2 linked regions of the Danio rerio genome follow. The protein of the gene in region 1 binds, or shares a complex with, the protein of each later gene. Links are inferred from orthologs where the notes say so. Each region holds a gene or a part of one and is shown on either strand. Other genes may lie near its edges. The genes, in order: nup93 and nup62l.

Evidence for each region.
Region 2: nup93 (region 1) and nup62l share a complex: the UniProt entries of both Homo sapiens proteins name them as parts of the p62 complex. The link is inferred for Danio rerio from reciprocal best matches to the Homo sapiens genes NUP93 and NUP62.

The regions. Positions count from the first base shown.
Region 1 is NC_133193.1:18,946,511-18,959,570, forward strand, and holds part of nup93 (nuclear pore complex protein Nup93), read left to right. Parts: intron 1-707; coding exon 708-782; intron 783-2,930; coding exon 2,931-3,023; intron 3,024-3,130; coding exon 3,131-3,270; intron 3,271-4,418; coding exon 4,419-4,551; intron 4,552-4,772; coding exon 4,773-4,930; intron 4,931-5,130; coding exon 5,131-5,296; intron 5,297-5,469; coding exon 5,470-5,563; intron 5,564-7,541; coding exon 7,542-7,733; intron 7,734-7,815; coding exon 7,816-7,942; intron 7,943-9,931; coding exon 9,932-10,004; intron 10,005-10,102; coding exon 10,103-10,147; intron 10,148-10,393; coding exon 10,394-10,510; intron 10,511-10,593; coding exon 10,594-10,712; intron 10,713-13,060. UniProt on the Homo sapiens protein: Plays a role in the nuclear pore complex (NPC) assembly and/or maintenance. May anchor nucleoporins, but not NUP153 and TPR, to the NPC. During renal development, regulates podocyte migration and proliferation through SMAD4 signaling.
Region 2 is NC_133189.1:11,189,921-11,194,074, forward strand, and holds the start of nup62l (nucleoporin 62 like), read left to right. Parts: upstream 1-1,354; 5' UTR 1,355-1,370; exon of another isoform or gene 1,371-1,454; intron 1,455-4,154. UniProt on the Homo sapiens protein: Essential component of the nuclear pore complex. The N-terminal is probably involved in nucleocytoplasmic transport.

The sequences.
Region 1 (13,060 bases):
TGATCATCGCAGCTAAAATTGTGGCCCTCACACCGATTTCATCCAGTATGTCAGTTGTAGTGTGAATGTGTGATAAGTGACCGGAACACCTCTTCACTGCGCATTTAAGCAGGTATACTGTAGGCAGAGCAAATGTTTTGCAGCAAGACCCAAGTGTGTTCTTTTCTCATGCAACAGAAGTGGTACAATTAAAATTCTGCATCTTTAGAGGATCATATATTTGGTTTTTGAGGATTTATTAAACATGACAGTCACAAATACTTGAAATTGGATAGAAATGAACAGATTTAAACATAAAGTTTGTTTTATTTGCACGTAAATTGTAAAATAAGCATGTTTTTTGTAGGTTATCAGCGTACAAATGTGCTCACTCTTTATTTATATTTCTTTAAAAATGAATTTATTCTAATCCACAAGGAAAATGTGTGGGTTTTGTGTTTTCCTCTGTGTGTGTTCACAGTCCTGAGCAGTGTGCTCTCATGCGCGAGTTATGTTCTTCACAATAGCTTCACGCTACATTGGTCACTGCGTTTAGATTACTCTGCGAGATAAACTCTCCGAGATAAACGCAGCTTGTGCACTTGTCAAACCCACGCTTTTAGAGACTCGCATATATACACACCTACACATGTGGAGAATATTAATACAGCCTGCTCGTGTAGATATGCTTGTTTGAGCCTTAACGACTGTTGCTATGTGCCCAACAGCCCAGTTTCGTGAGCGAGGTCGGAGTTCCTGGACGCAGTGCGCTGGACAGTGTGGAAGTGGCCTATAGCCGACAGGTTTGTAGAAAGACATTCATGTATAGCATAAACATAAATGCGCATAAATGCATAAACACACATGCAGAACCATGTGTAAAAAAAGAAATGAAAATTATAGAAGAAATATATAATCTTTAAAAAATTCATGTTAAAAATGTATGTTATTTATAAATAGTCTAAATAAAATCAAAACATGAAGCATGAATCCCATCATCTCTATCTATCTATATATTTGTCTATCCATCTATCTGTGTATCTGTATATCTATATTTATCTCTATCTATCTATCTATCTATCTATCTATCTATCTATCTATCTATCTATCTATCTATCTATCTATCTATCTATCTATCTATCTATCTATCTATCTGTCTATCCATCTATCTATCATCTATCTATCTATCTATCTATCTATCTATCTATCTATCTATCTATCTATCTATCTATCTATCTATCTATCTATCTATCTATCTATCTATCCGTCTATCCATCCATCTGTCTATCCGTCTATCTATCTATCTATCTATCTATCTATCTATCTATCTATCTATCTATCTATCTATCTATCTATCTATCTATCTATCTATCTATCTATCTATCTATCTATCTATATCTATCTGTCTATCCATCCATCCATCCATCCGTCTATCCGTCTATCCATCTATCCATCCATCTATCCATCTATCTATCTGTCTATCCGTCTATCTGTCTGTCTGTCTGTCTGTCTGTCTGTCTGTCTATCTATCTATCTATCTGTCTGTCTGTCTGTCTGTCTGTCTGTGTGTGTGTGTGTGTGTGTGTGTGTGTGTGTGTGTGTGTGTGTGTGTGTGTGTGTGTGTGTGTGTGTGTATTGATATCAATGGTCACATCGCATAGATATGCAATATTAAGTTTGGATTTTATTTGAGGAAGAGTCACAGTTCAGAACATGAGATTTGTGGAATTACTGCAGAGTTTAAACATAATGGAGTGAAATTGTATCATTTGTATGATTTTAAGACCTGAGAGAGTTATTTAGTTATTTAGGCACAAGACATTATACCAATTAGAAGTTTATAAAGAATAATTGTATTAAATTATTTAGACATCAAAAACTGTGCAGCGTAATTTTAACATTTACAAAACCTAAGCCAATACCTAAGGGACCCTAATGTATGTTAATAAGCAACAAATTAGAAGTTTATTGAAGCAAAAGCCATAGTTAATGGATGGCCAATTGTGGGAAGTGAGCCTTAAAATAAAGTGCGACTATGAATTCTTTCCAACCAGTGCTATTCAATCATTTGGTGAAATTGTGTAGATGCATTTTATTACAATATATCTAGCAGAAAAATAAAATATTGCAATGTCAGATTTTTCCAATATTATGTAGCCCTAATATTTAAGCAAAACAAATATAACAATTTTACTCAAACCCATGCCTAATGAATCTAGTAAATCCAAGGATGCTGAGTATTTTTTGGGTGGAAATAAATTAATCTATGCCCAATACATTTTATTAAATTCATTATTTTTAACTTATTTTTTAAATAGCACTATAGAAATATATTGCAATAATTTATAAATTGAGTTATAAATCAATATTATAGAATGAGCCAGCAGTGCAATAATTTATATTAGAAAATATATCTTGGTATTCCTATTTAAACATTAAAAAGAGAAGGAATAAAGACTCAAAATAAGCAGAAGTATAATCACTAGTGATAAAACATGAAATCCTGATTATATTTTTTACTAAGTCTGCATTGTTATGTAGTTAAGCTTATCTTTTTCTCTGTCAGTTAGCTAGACAGAAAAATAAATGTGTCGTGTTTTGTGAGCTGAGCTCGATTGATTGAAATGATTGATTGGCTGGAAAGAAGCATGATGGGTAGGCTCTGGATCTGTCCATAAATGGGAGGGCTGTCTCTAACTCTCACTTCTTTTGTTCGGCTCTTTATGGTCCGATAACTCTTTTATTGCCTTTGTCTTTTTTTCTGTGTAATCATGTGTCGCCACATCGCCTGCGGAGTCATCTTCTTGGTGTTTGTGCTTTTTTTCGACGACCTTCTAAACATTTTCATCCTGTTTGTTTTGTTTTTCATCATTCTTCACTTCACTTCCAGATCATAGCAGATCAGCCTCAGCTCGTCCATTCTCAATCTGCACCTTTCTTCTGTCCTTTAGATCTACGTCTTCAATGAAAAGATAGTAAATGGCCATCTTCAGCCAAACCTGGGAGATCTGTGTGCCTCTGTGGCCGAAAGTCTGGATGATAAGGTTTGTAACACTCAGTTTGTGTGTGTGTTCCTGAATGTGTTCAGAAAAATGAGGGAGTGATTGCTTTAATAGAGATTGTGTAAAGTTGTTTGTGCATGCATTTGTAGAACGTGTCAGAAATGTGGCTCATGGTGAAGCAGATGACAGACGTCCTGCTGGTGCCAGCAAAAGACACTCTGAAGAGTCGAGTGTCTGTGGACATGCAGATGGCCTTCGTCAGACAAGCCCTGCAGTTCCTGGAGAACAGGTGAGATGGTTGATGCATAACATTTTGTTATTTATTATGATGCTTATATTTTTTGCATTATTGGGATTGGGAACTCGGAAGCTCAAAACGCAATGGAGCTACACTATGTGTCAGTGCGCTGCCTTTGTACAAATTTTTGTACCATTATCTTATAGTTCTTATATTATCTTATAGAATAGTTCCAGATTTGCCCTTGGTACTGACTGATCTAATGTATATGCACACATGTATTATTGTAAAGCATCTAATAGAAAATATTAATTTAAAAGAGATATATGTGAGGGGTGTACTTATTTAGGCTAAGCACTGTATATATCATATCTGAACTATTTAATTGGCTTAGTTTTCTACTTATGAATTATGATTTGAGTGATTTTATAATGAGTCAGCCAAACATCTTTTCATATCAACATAACCACTGTTAAGCCTTCCTTACAATAAAACGTTATTAAAATATGAAATTTTAAAGACTACTAAACAAGATTTGTACACCGAGAACACTACTGTTTTAAGAATTGTATACCTGGGGAGAAGTTATTTATCATTATATAGAAATAAAAAAGTATATCTAATGTTTTAATGTAGTATTTATTTTTCTATTAAATTATAAAGTTGTTATTGTAATGTAATAAGGTTTTATGTTTATTAATCTTTCCATGAAATAGCCATACATTGCTGGTTTTGCAATAAATAAACAAACAAACAAAATCTATATACAGTTGAAGTCAAAATTAGTAGCTAAAGAATAAACCACTGTTATACAATGACTTGCCTAATTACTGTATGTTGCACAGTTAACCCAATTAACTAATTTAATTTAAATTGCACTTTAAGCTGAATACTAGTGTCTTGACAAAATATCTAGTAAAATATTATTTACTGTCATCATGGCAAAGATAAAATAAATCAGTCATTAGAAATGAATTATTAAAACTATTGTTTAGAAATGTGTTGAAAAAATCTGATTTCCTTCATACAGAAATTGGGGAAAAATATATAAGGGGTAATAATCCAGGAGACTTCAACTGTATATAATTCTGTATATTTCTATATTAAAAGTAATGTAGATGAACTGGTCTGAAAGTTTGTGAACCCGGTGTCTGCTTAATCCAGTTGAAAAACGAACTGCTTGTCTCTCTCTTCTACAGCTATAAAAATTACACCCTGGTCACTGTGTTTGGGAATCTGCATCAGGCTCAGCTGGGTGGAGTGCCTGGGACTTATCAGCTCGTATGCAGCTTCCTGAACATCAAGCTGCCGACGCCGCTGCCAGGCATGCAGGTACTGCAGTAAAACGTGCCCTCACCACACTACATCATACAGACTAAACGCCATCACTGCAGATACTCTCGAGTGTGCTTTGCAGCAGTTTAGATAATAGCAGCGGAGTCTCCCTGCATGGGCCAGTAAGCTGCTTATTTCAGACCTGAAAGTAAAAAGGGGGTAAATGAATGTGGTGTGACCCGAGGATAAAGCCTGCTGCGTGTGCACATGTGTAACAGGACGGCGAGGTGGAGGGACATCCGGTGTGGGCTCTGATCTATTTCTGCCTGCGTTGTGGAGATCTGTCTGCCGCCATGCAGGTGGTGAACAAGGCACAGCATCAGCTGGGAGACTTTAAGATCTGGTTCCAAGAATACATGAACAGCCCTGACCGACGGTGAGAACACCCACACACACACACACACATACCCCAAAAACTAGATCACATCCTAAGAGGACTGTTTCTCCTCCATTTTTGGGAACTGCTTCTTTCTCTTGCGTGCTTGACCTAGGTTGCTCCTTTTTTTGTCTTTCATGCATAAGATTACATTGAAGCTGAATAATTAATTAAATCTGAATTTCTGAAATTCTTCTCAGTTTGTCGCCAGCCACAGAGAATAAGCTACGGCTGCATTACCGGCGTGTGCTCAGGAACAGCGCAGACCCTTATAAGCGTGCTGTTTACTGTCTCATCGGCAAATGCGACATCGGCGACAATCATGGGGAGGTGGCTGATAAGACGGAGGATTACCTGTGGCTCAAGGTCAGAAATGATGACTGATTTTGATTTATCATAGTTTAATATAGTTGTTTTTTACATGCAAATACTAGATGATCAATGAAAAAGAGTGTTTTAGAGATGCTAATAAGAAAGGGATTTATACTTGGATTCTTCTTGATTTGAGTAGTTTAAATGGTGCTGTGTGTCCCTACCAGCTGAATCAAGTGTGTTTTGATGAGGACGGCAGCAGTTCCCCTCAGGACCGAATGACTTTGGCACAACTTCAGAAACAGCTGCTTGAAGACTATGGTGAGAGTCACAGTGACTTATATAAATAAGCAGGACATGTATTCATAAAAAAATGTTATTATACATAAATTTTTGGTTGCTAATGTACATATTTATGGCTCAGAGATTAGATATTTCGGTATTTGTGTCATAAATTGTACAAAGATTGTTTTATACATAGAAATTATATTAAATGTAACAAAGTGTTTGTTTTGATAATTCAATCGACTTTTGTGAAAATGTTAAAATATGTGTAAAATAATAATCTTTTTTTAGTGTAACATATATATTTATGTGAAAAATAAAGGATGTTGTTATTTCGACGTGCACATAAGTATGACAAACAAGACTTTGGTATATAAACCAAGGTTAAAATGAATGGCATTTTTATAGGTGTATTTGAGAAAATTATGTTTAATATGTCTGAATATGGTGGCGCAGTGGCGCAGTAGGTAGTGCTCCGGTTTCCCCCACAGTGGTACAGGTGAATTGGGTAGGCTAAATTGTTCATAGTGTATGTGTGTGAATGAGAGTGTATGGGTTTCTCAGTGATGGGTTGCAGCTGGAAGGGCATCCGTTTCGTAAAACATATGCTGGATAAGTTGGCAGTTAATTCCGCTGGGGTGACGGTAGATTAATAAGGGGACTAAACCAAAAAGAAAATGAATAAATTAATATCTGATTATGATTTCACAAAAATGACAGACTCTCAGGAGACTCTTATGTACTGGAAGAAAAATACATTAAAAGCTTTATTACACCTATTGTTTTGATGCTTAAAAACAATATTTTTTGGCTTGTACCCAGCTAATCATCTCGCAAAACAAAAATTAAGAGAATTCAAATTGGTTTACTGTATTTGCCATAAATAGTAGATGTTTTGTATTACATCTAGTTTATAAACTACTGATTCAGCAAGGGTAAATATAATATATTGCATGGTTCAGGATTGGTAGAGCTACACATCGATGAATTGGCTCTTCAGTGTTTGAACTCTCAGTAATGATTAAATCACACTGAACTGAGCTAAACTGAACTGAACTGAACTTAAACACTAAAACCTGAACCACACTGTTCCAGTTACTGAACCACACTGTTCCAGTTACTATGACCATTTATGTGAAGCTGCTTTGACACAATCTACATTGTAAAAGCGCTATACAAATAAAGCTGAATTGAATTGAATTGAATATATTCCATGTTTTAGATCTTAAATACTGGTAAAAATGTATGTGTGTGTGTGTGTGTGTGCGTGTGTGTATGTATATATATATATATATATATATATATATATATATATATATATATATATATATATATATATATATATATATATATATATATATATGCTGTACATAGTTTTACATATAAAACGATTTAAATTATTCCATTAAGTCATCCCAGTTATCTAAAGGAAGAGGTTTAAATGGGCATTTGAAAAACTAGGAAGTAAGTCAGTATGCAAAACCTCCCATTCAGTCTCTGCCAGTGTGTGCCTAGCCCAGATAAAAGTGCATGTCATTGTGCTGTTTTCTCATGGCTTAAACTTCTCCTCGCCCAGTTTTAAAAAGGCATCCGCTTAGTTTCCTCCACCTGCCTGATGAGTCAGTCTTATCTCGCCGGCACTCCTGCAGTACACCACATTAAAGACTCGCTCTTTTGCTGATAAGACTCCTTCACTCCCAGCTGCGCTGCCATTACGCTCCATGCAAAGTCGCAGCGGGTCTTTTCAATGCCGCTTTAAGACGTCAGTTTTAACGGCAATTTAAATGAGAGGGGATTATTTCAACTTGCGCAAATGGAAATGAAACAGCCTATTTAAGCACTTCACAGCCGAGGAAGATTTACATGGAACCTATTACTCGCTTAAAGAAGCATTTAAATTCCTTATGTGACAAATCCGTACTGGCTGCATGTGCCCATTGCCAGTGTGTGCTTTATGTGTGTTCTGTAAGTGGTTTTGCTCATAAAGATGTGTGGCATGAATTGTTTTCTGCAGGTGAGTCCCATTTTTCAGCCAGCCACCAGCCCTTCTTGTACTTCCAAGTGCTTTTCCTGACGGCGCAGTTTGAGGCGGCCATCGCGTTTCTCTTCAGAGTGGAGCGTCTGCGCAGCCATGCCGTTCACGTTGCTCTGGTGCTGTACGAACTCAAACTCCTGCTCAAATCATCAGGACAGAGCGCTCAACTCTGTAAGTTGTGACTATTGAGCGTTAAGTGAGAACTTAAAAATTTATCTTGTTTGTAATATTTTTTCTGATCTTTTTTTTTAAGTGAGTCAAGAAGCTGGAGATCCTCCAATGGTGCGACGGCTAAACTTCATCAGGCTGCTTATGTTGTACACACGCAAATTTGAGTCCACTGATCCGCGAGAAGCCCTGCAGTACTTCTACTTTCTCCGGTAATGGGCATTCTATACTTAAGGGTCACAAAACCTTTGTTTTTCAGTTTAGGTCTATCTCAGAATGAAAAAGCTATTTACATAGGTTTGGAAAGTTGTAAGCAGAAGGAAGAGAAGTGAGGGTGATGGGGAAAAGCTGGAGAAAAAGAACACAGCAAACAACTGTCGTTTGTCTTTCATACTGTCATAATGACTTAAAAATTTGCTTAGCAGCGCTCAATGTACAATGGGAAATGCTGATATAGTCACATTTGTTTACAATTCAGTACAAATTTGTAGAATTTAGTATGTCTATTGGCATTAGAGCAGTAATAAGGCCAACAATTTAGGCCATAGCCTGACAGAATTCGGCCCGAGCCTGACAAGTACATTTTGATTTACAGCTTTTTAAAAGTTTAACATTATTCAAATGTGCACATGCACACAGCTCTTTTACCTTTTTTTCAAGAATGAGTCGTTTATTTGTGTTTTAACATCATTTATTCATAACAAACGTAGGCTATAGGCCACTTAGAAGTTGGAACAAAGAAATAAAATAAGTCCTCTTTCCTAACAAATAAATTAATGACAGGTATTTGGCAATACCGAAATTAAGATGAAGGTTCTGCGGGATTTGTTTCACCACTGCTCTTCACAATCTGGCCTTAAGGCGAAGCTGAATGTTAAAATAATAATGCCAGCATTAGCCTGTGTACTCTAACTACATTATGCATTTTTTATTTAATTAATATTTAATTATAATTTGAAAATTCTTCACTCATTAAGATTATGCTATGTGTTTTTGTGGAGGAAAATTATTTAATCAGTCCTGGAAAAAGAGGACATTGAAACTGCTGCCATGGAAAATGAAATAAATGTTCTTGGCTGGTGGAAGATGAACAAACAATCCTACCTAAAACTTGCAAAATTAGCCAGATCAGTATGCCTCCCGGCCTGTAGCAGCAGCAGTGAAAGGGTGATCAGTGCTGTTGGATGCACCATCAGTGAGCGCATGACCAATCAATTCCCACTCCACAAAACTTGCTCTTTTTGACTTCTCTGTTATCATTTGTTTCACCTTTGCAAGGCTGTAACAAACGATTTGATTACTTTCTCACACTAATTGAAATGCATTACATGACTATTAATTTACCATGCAAGCCCGAGCCTGCCCCAACCCTGTCTAAAATGATCTTTAGCTCTAATTGGCATCGCAACCCATTGTGAACACCTTGCTGCACATTCTCACAGCTTGAATAAATTATTCAGAATCAGTAACTCTTATGGGATAAAAAAAAACTCAGTCTCATGAATAATAATTGGAGACAGATGCATCATCGAAGTACTCACAGTCCTATTGTACGTCACTATCAGTAATGCTGCACTGATAGAGATTTTAAACCTGCAAGATGAAACTAGCTCAAAAGCTAGTAGTTCCTTACAATTAAAACTAACAGATGCTAACATTATTGTTCAACAAACATAAAGCTGTAAAAGCCTCATCAAATTTAGTAGAGGATTTCGTCAGCCTTTAAGTAATGCTATTGGGTTATTTGGAGTAACATACTAAAAGAGCTGATGTTAGATTAGATACGTTGAACAGCTATTAAGGAAGCCTATACAAAGCTATTATGAAATAAACTTGTTTCCTGTTTGATCAGTGGCTGAACTGTAAGTCATGTCTTTTTCTCTGAATATACTGTGCGGAAATCCCTCTCCGAGAAGAGATTAATGTGTCATGAATAACTCAGAACCTTCCATGAATGATCCATGAATAATTAAACCTGCTTCATGCACACTGTGAATTCGATGCTAACTCGACCCATTGTTTTAAAAGACCCCACAGCCACTAGTACAAAAAGGAAGCAGTTGATCTTCTTAAGGTCTTTTATCTCAGGGTTTGCATGCATGTCACAAAGCGAACATGTTCCTTTGAATCTTTTATGCCACAAACTGGATAATTGCTGTACTGCAACAAACTAACAATCACTGCTCTCCTACTGGCCACAGGAATGAGAAGGACAGTCAAGGAGAAAACATGTTTATGCGCTGTGTCAGCGAGCTAGTCATCGAGAGTCGAGAGGTAAGAAACTTTGTAAGCTCATTGGAGGAAGGGTTTCTGCATACTAATTGCTGTTATCATTACATAATTCCTGTCAATACTTAACTCTCTTCCTGCAGTTCGATATGCTTCTTGGAAGGCTTGAAAAAGATGGAAGCAGAAAGGTATGTTGGAGGCTTTTGTTGTAATATCACCTGACTGGCAGACAGCGAACGTGCCCACTGTTCATTCTTGGAACCCATTGTGAAAAGCTTGTTCGTTCAGGCTTTCAGGGTTGTGTAGAATGTGCTATTGTCTCGCAGGGCCTGTACAACACACTCCGGCTTTTCATGCTCAAGGCTTATTGACAAACACCATTGTGCATTCAGAGTCCTGCTTGCTCTAAGCAGTGTTTGTTTGAATCCATTCAGCCTGGTGTGATTGACAAGTTTGCCGGAGACACGCGGGCCATCATTACCAAAGTAGCCTCTGAGGCCGAGAACAAGGGATTGTTTGAGGAGGCCGTCAAACTCTACGAGTTAGCCAAGGTAAGATAAGCTGAGACGGACCTTTGGGTTTAGCAGTCTCTTGTAATTGTGCCTAAAACATTTTTTTTTATTTCCTGCTCCAGAATGCTGATAAGGTTTTGGAGCTGATGAATAAATTGTTGAGTCCAGTCATCGCTCAAGTCAGCGAACCTCAGTCCAACAAAGAGCGACTCAAAAACATGGCAGTGGCTATTGCTGAAAGGTGAGCATTATGAAACTAAGTATTTCGGTCACACTTTACAATAAGGTTTCATTAGTTTATGTATTGATTAACATGAGCTACTTATAAACAATGCTTCTACAGCATTTATTAATCATAGTTCAACGTTGTATAGTGCATAAGTAACATTCAAATTCATGCTTTACTGTGTATTGTTCATTAGTAAATGCATTAACTAATACAACCTTATTGTAAAGTGTTACCAGTATTTCTAAACATTAAAAAAAAAATTATGACTAAACTGACTATTTACGACTATTATTTATGACTAAATCTAACAATTATGAATTATTAAAATGTGTTATGAGTTTCAACATTCTATTCAAGTTTCAAAATTTCAACTGAAAGTATTAGTTGACCCAAAAATCTAAATTCCGTTATTAATTACTCATCCTCATGTCATTCCAGTCTCCACCCTTTAATCATTTTTGAAGAACAAGTTAAGATTCATTCATTTTCTTTTCGCCTTAGTCCCTTTATTAATCTGGTCTCGCCACAGCGGAATAAATTATCCAGCATATGTTTTTTGCAGCGAATGCCCTTCCAGCTGCAACCCCTCACTGGAAAACATCCATACACACACAATTACACACATACACTACGGGCAATTTAGCTTACCGAATTCACCTATACAATATGTCTTTGGACTTGTGGGGGAAACCGAAGCACCTTGAGCAAACCCACGTGAACACGAGGAGAACATGCAAACTCCATACAGAATCGCCAACTGACCCAGCCGGGGCTCGAACCAGCGACCTTCTTGCTGTTAGGCGATCGTGCTATCCACTGACGCCCTACAAATTGAGATATTTTAGATTAAATAAAAGAGCGGTCTGAAGCTCCATTTACAGCAAAGGTTGTGCAATGTTTAAAGTCCAGAAATGGAAGCAAAAACATACAAATCATGCAAAGATATGGGGAATACAAAATCTAATACTAATACGTCATATTGCACCATGCACCCTAATGACCAGACCAGAGAAGACACTGGCTAACAAAGTTGTGTTTACAGTTTTGTGACACACAACAGTGTTCTTGGATCTTCATATGATTACAGTTGAAGCATTAAAGTCATATGGAGTGTTAGACAATGTTTTTGACTCCTTTTCTGGACTTTCAACATTGCTGTCTATGGAAGATGAAGGAGCTCTCGGATTTAATCTCAAATCTGTTTGTATTTATATTGCACTATTTTTACTTTCTACCTTCCAATGGAGAGTTATATCTTCCAGTCATGACTTTATATCACCCAATAGTGACTTTGTGTCTTCCAGTTGCTATATCCCGTTTTCAATAGTGACTTAACATCTTACTAAAATTCTTCCAGTTTGGAAGACTTTTGTTCGTCTCCCCGTTGCTATTTTGTATCACCCAAGAGCAACTTTGTATTGACCATATTCTTCACATATGAGCGGGTGCTGCCATTGGAATGTTTTTGGCTCAAGACTTCCGGTTTCATTCACTTCTGTAGATTTTTAGATGTTAATAACAGCTTGTTATGCTGCTTAATGTTGCAAACTGATTTTTTCATTTTATATTATTTTACTTTGTGATGCAGTGGGTAGTGTTGTCGCCTCACAGCAAGAACGTCGCTGGTTCGAGCCTCGGCTGGTTCAGTTGGCATTTCTGTGTGGAGTTTGCATGTTCTCCCCTTTTCACGTGGGTTTTCTCTGGGTGCTCCGGTTGCCCCCACAGTCCAAAAACATGCGGTACAGGTGAATTGGGTAGGCTAAATTGTCCTTAGTGTATGAATGTGAATGAGAGCGTTAAAACGTGCTGGATAAGTTGGAGGTTCATTCCGCTGTGGCGACCCCGGATTAATAAAGGGACACTATGCCGAAAAGAAAATGAATGAATTATTTTACTTTTTATGTTTAGTCATGAACACATTTGTTTTGTAGAGCAAGCAGTTTGATAGTTTTCTGCCGTTTATTATTCCTAGTCATTTCTCCCATAGGCAAATGAATCGAAGCTCTAAAACAATAGCATAAATAAGTTGGAAAAAAAGAAAAAAATTACACTTTTGTATTGCAGAAGGTGGTCAATATTGTATTTGCAACTGTATACCTCCAGTAGTGACTTTATGTCTCCCAGTAGCTACTATATATCTCCCATTTGCTGTCATTTATATCTTCTAATAGTGACCTTTGTATCTCCCAGTTGTGACTTTACATTTCCCGTTTGCAACTGTTTGTATCTCTCTATTGTGGCTATCACTACTGTGACTTCTACATTATATCTCTTAGTTGTCTCTTAATAGTTAAAAGTTGTGACTTTGTATCTTCAAGCAGCTTATGCAGTATATTTCTCTTTAATGACTTTACATCTTT
Region 2 (4,154 bases), on another chromosome or scaffold:
AAAAACGAACAGGTCTATTAAATACAAAGCAATAAGCATAAATTCTAGGAGTTAAACATCAATCTTTAGGCTAATACTTCTTGTTTGAATCTGCTAAAAAAGGGTTTACATATATGTACATTTATAGATATAAAAATTTCCCATGTAAAAAGCAAAACAAGGTGTTTTGATTAGGTCTTAATAAATGACATTATTTTGGATGATGAATGAATTTTCAAAAAAGCATTTTAATCCAAAAAGATTGTGTTGAAAAGAACAAAAGGTAAAATAAGTGAGCGATGTAGAAGATTCCCAGAAAGAGCAGGTATACAGCCTTTAAACTGCTAGACAGAAAATAAAATATATATTTATATTATAATAATAAAGCCATTTTATAATTATTTAATAAAATAGTTCTTTACTTTAATTTGTTAAGAGAGCTTTAGGGTGGCAGGATCAATGATGATGATTTTCTTATTTCAAGTCTGTAAGACTTATTTGAGTTCATATTTAGGTTATTCACTAAAATATACACTAAAATATATCATTTAAATCGTTCATGGAGATGAATGCAGTAAATAGTCTGTATAAAAAAGTTTAAAAATAAACCTGTGCAAACAAGCTAACCTTTATAACCAGATTATTTAACAAAAGATGATTACTGCAGTAAAATATTTGTAGTCTTTTAATAAGCAAGATGTGTACAGGATAGAGAGGGTGTGAAAAGTGAATTGTTTGTTTTGAAACTTTTGAATCGGAATTTGTCCAATTATAAACCCGAAATACACGTGTTTGTTGTCATGTGGTGAACTCGGCCAATCGTGTAATATCGGTGTCGTCATCAAAGCTCCTGCAGTCGCTCTTCAGAAGCTGCATGGTCTGAGTTTGCCGTCTGATCTCGGAGCGCTGTCGCGGTACTTTGATGCCACATGTGACAGTCACGTGGCGTCGGCGCAGCATCAATCCGGACAAGATTTCTAACCAGAATGCACCGCTTTAAGACAGATTTCGATCGATCTGCGCAGCGCTGCATGAAGTCGAACGCACCTAATAAAAGAGAGAGAGAGGTCACCAACCTCATCACTGTCCTCACCAGTGCCCGCCCCGAACTCGTGCACACGACCTGCTGATAAACAATTATGTTTATAGACTTTTTAGTTAATGCAAAAATAAATTAACTAACTACATTCCTTTTAAATAAAATAATAACGATTTCTTTATCATTTGATGTTGTGGCTTATTACGACCTTTTATTTTAATGTGATGATGTTGCCACATAAGTCTGTAATTTTGAGCAGGCAGAATGTAGACCCTAGACAGATGACGCGAAGGTCCTGAAAGAAACTGCGCATGTGACGGATGCTGTGCGCGGGAGCTGCTGTGAAGTAGTTGTACGTTCTTTATCATTTTACATTTTATTTGTTGAAGTGTTTTATTTCACCTTGTGATGTGTAATGTGATCAACCTATCTTAAAGTAAGTACATTTGTGATGTAATTGTGGAGAAATCTGCATTGAGTTGGCGTAACGTGAGGAACTGTCAGCTAGCTGTTATCACTGAAGTGAAGCTAAAAACATATCCGTTCTCTTACTATGGCGTTCAATAATATTAAAGAGTCTATCACACGAAATGTTCATATCTAGAGAATTGTACGTAAGTTGCTCAGCTGCTTGCAACAGTTTAGCTATAATCTTATAATAGAGCTCAGTTGCTCATCATAACGCTGTCCCCAAACCCTGAGTGGCTTACGTACACATTTTTGCAATCAAATTTTTAAAGCTCCAAGAACATTTGCGTGTTGTTTGTAATGGTGAATATCTTGACCGTGTGCGTATCTAGATGAAAGGTTTGGTACGTGTTTTAAGCCTATTCCGCATAAGAGCATTACGATCTACAATGATGAGTTAATGTTGGTTAACTTCACACATCCACAACAATGTCTAAGTAACGTTATGATGAGATAACGTTACAATTATTAATTCGTTAAAAGGGGTAAAGTTGGTTTTGTACTTGCACATTCGGACTTTTTCCTTCATTCATTCATTTTTCTTTTTGGCTTAGTCCCTTTATTAATCTGAGGTCACCACAGCGGAATTAACCGGCAATTAATCCAACATATGAGCAATTCCAGCGTTATGGATGTGACATTTGCAGTAAAGCTCAAAACATAAATTCACATAGAAATGATATGTTAACATTATATTAAAACTTCTGTTTATATTTTCAGAATTACTGACCACAGAGTTACGGGACCAGAAAAATATTGATCTGTAAACATGTTTTGTACTTTATATGAGAAAAATAAACATGCAATATGGATGTGACAAAAAAAAAGTCTGCGGGTTTACAGTAGACAACATTCTTTGTAGAAATTCTGTAAACTGCACAACCCAAACAAAACAATGCTAATCAAAAGAATAAAGAGTTGCTCACTATAGAAGTATTTTACAGTACTTTAGAAATACGCAAGAATGCATCTGTTAATATTCTACAATTTCTGACCCGTTACATCTATAACGGATAGGTGTCGTTATGGATGTGACACCTCAACTATGGAAGGACATTTTAGCTTACCCAATTCACCAATACTGCATGTGTTTGGACTGTGGGTGAAACCGGAGCACCTAAAGGAAACCCACCCGAACATGGGGAGCACATCCAAACTCCACACAGAAATGCCAACTGGCCCAGCCAAGGCTAGAACCAGCAAACTTCTTGCTGTGAGGCGACAGCGCTACCCACTCTACCACCGTGCTGCACTTTTTCCTTAATATACTTGACAAATTCTAAATAGGTAAATCATATTAGAAGTGGCTTTCAAAGTACAACATTGATCACAGTCAATTAAATAGTGCTAATGTTGTTTTGAAGTCACGCTTGCATGCTATTTCAGAGGAAATACTCAAAAGTAGCGTGGTAAACAATATAGATAGCGTGCCATAAGTTGTCACTGTTCAAAAAGAATGAATGTGCGAATATAAAATCAACTTTACCTCAATCCATTATTTTTGCTGCTCCAGCTTTATATTAATTAGGAATATATTTCAAATTCATCTATGTGTATGAAGCAGGGTTTAGGCATGGGCCGGTATAAAATTATGTATATTAGTATGATAACCTTGGATAAAAATATCACTGTTTCAAGGTATTGGGATTACTGCGCTAAAATATATTCTTTGTAAATGTCTGGGTTAAAATCAAAAACTTTTTTACCCTTTTGAACATAGTATATCTAACATTTTAAATATTTTGGAACAGTAAACATGTTAGGCCAAATAAATTGACTTCTGCTGTCTTTGTTTGTTTAAATTTAATTTAAACATCTTCTCTGCTGGAGATATTATTGTCCTAAAAAAATCACAAATTAAAAATTGTACACATACCTTAGGAACGGTATTGCAGAAAATTTTGGCTGTTTTAAAACCTTGACTTTTTTCCAACCGCTGTATACCTTAAAAATATCGTCCCATACATAGCAGGTTTTTCACTGGAAATCCTTGAATATGCTTCAATTTTGATCTAGTGTTTTTTGGTGCTTCTGTGGTGCTTTCATAATAATTTGTTTTTAAGTAGGTAATTCTAGCGAACTATTTAAATAATTAGTTTTGCTCTTGCTGTGAGGCGTTCTTTTCACCGTGCTGCTCTGCTTGCGGCAAATATACCATCAAAATTTGTCCTTGAAATACTATACTAAAGTACCACAGAATACTATAGCAAATAGTATCTGGTATATTGTAGTATGAAGTATGTACAGTATGTGTATGTGCATGTTTATATGTAATTTACCACAATTGTATCTGCAGTGTGCTTGAAAATGCTCAAATTTGACTTTGAAAAATGTGTAAGAAGCCTAACAGGATATAAAATCATGAATTGTGTTTTGCTGCCTGACTTTGTAGAATAGAACTATTCTTATAATTAAAAATGATCATGTAGATGTTGACTCTGGATGGTTCATCCTAAGATTAAAACGTCATCATTTAGTCTCCCTCATGTGGTTTTAAACCTTTGAGTTTTTCATCTGTTGAACACAGAAGATAATTTGCAAAATGCTGGTTGCAGGTACCCATTGACTTCCATAGTTGGAAAAAAATGCAGTGCTTAAAGCATTCTTCAAAATATCACCTTTTGTGCTCGAACCGAAGAAAGAAACTCTATAAAGGCTGAGTAGATAA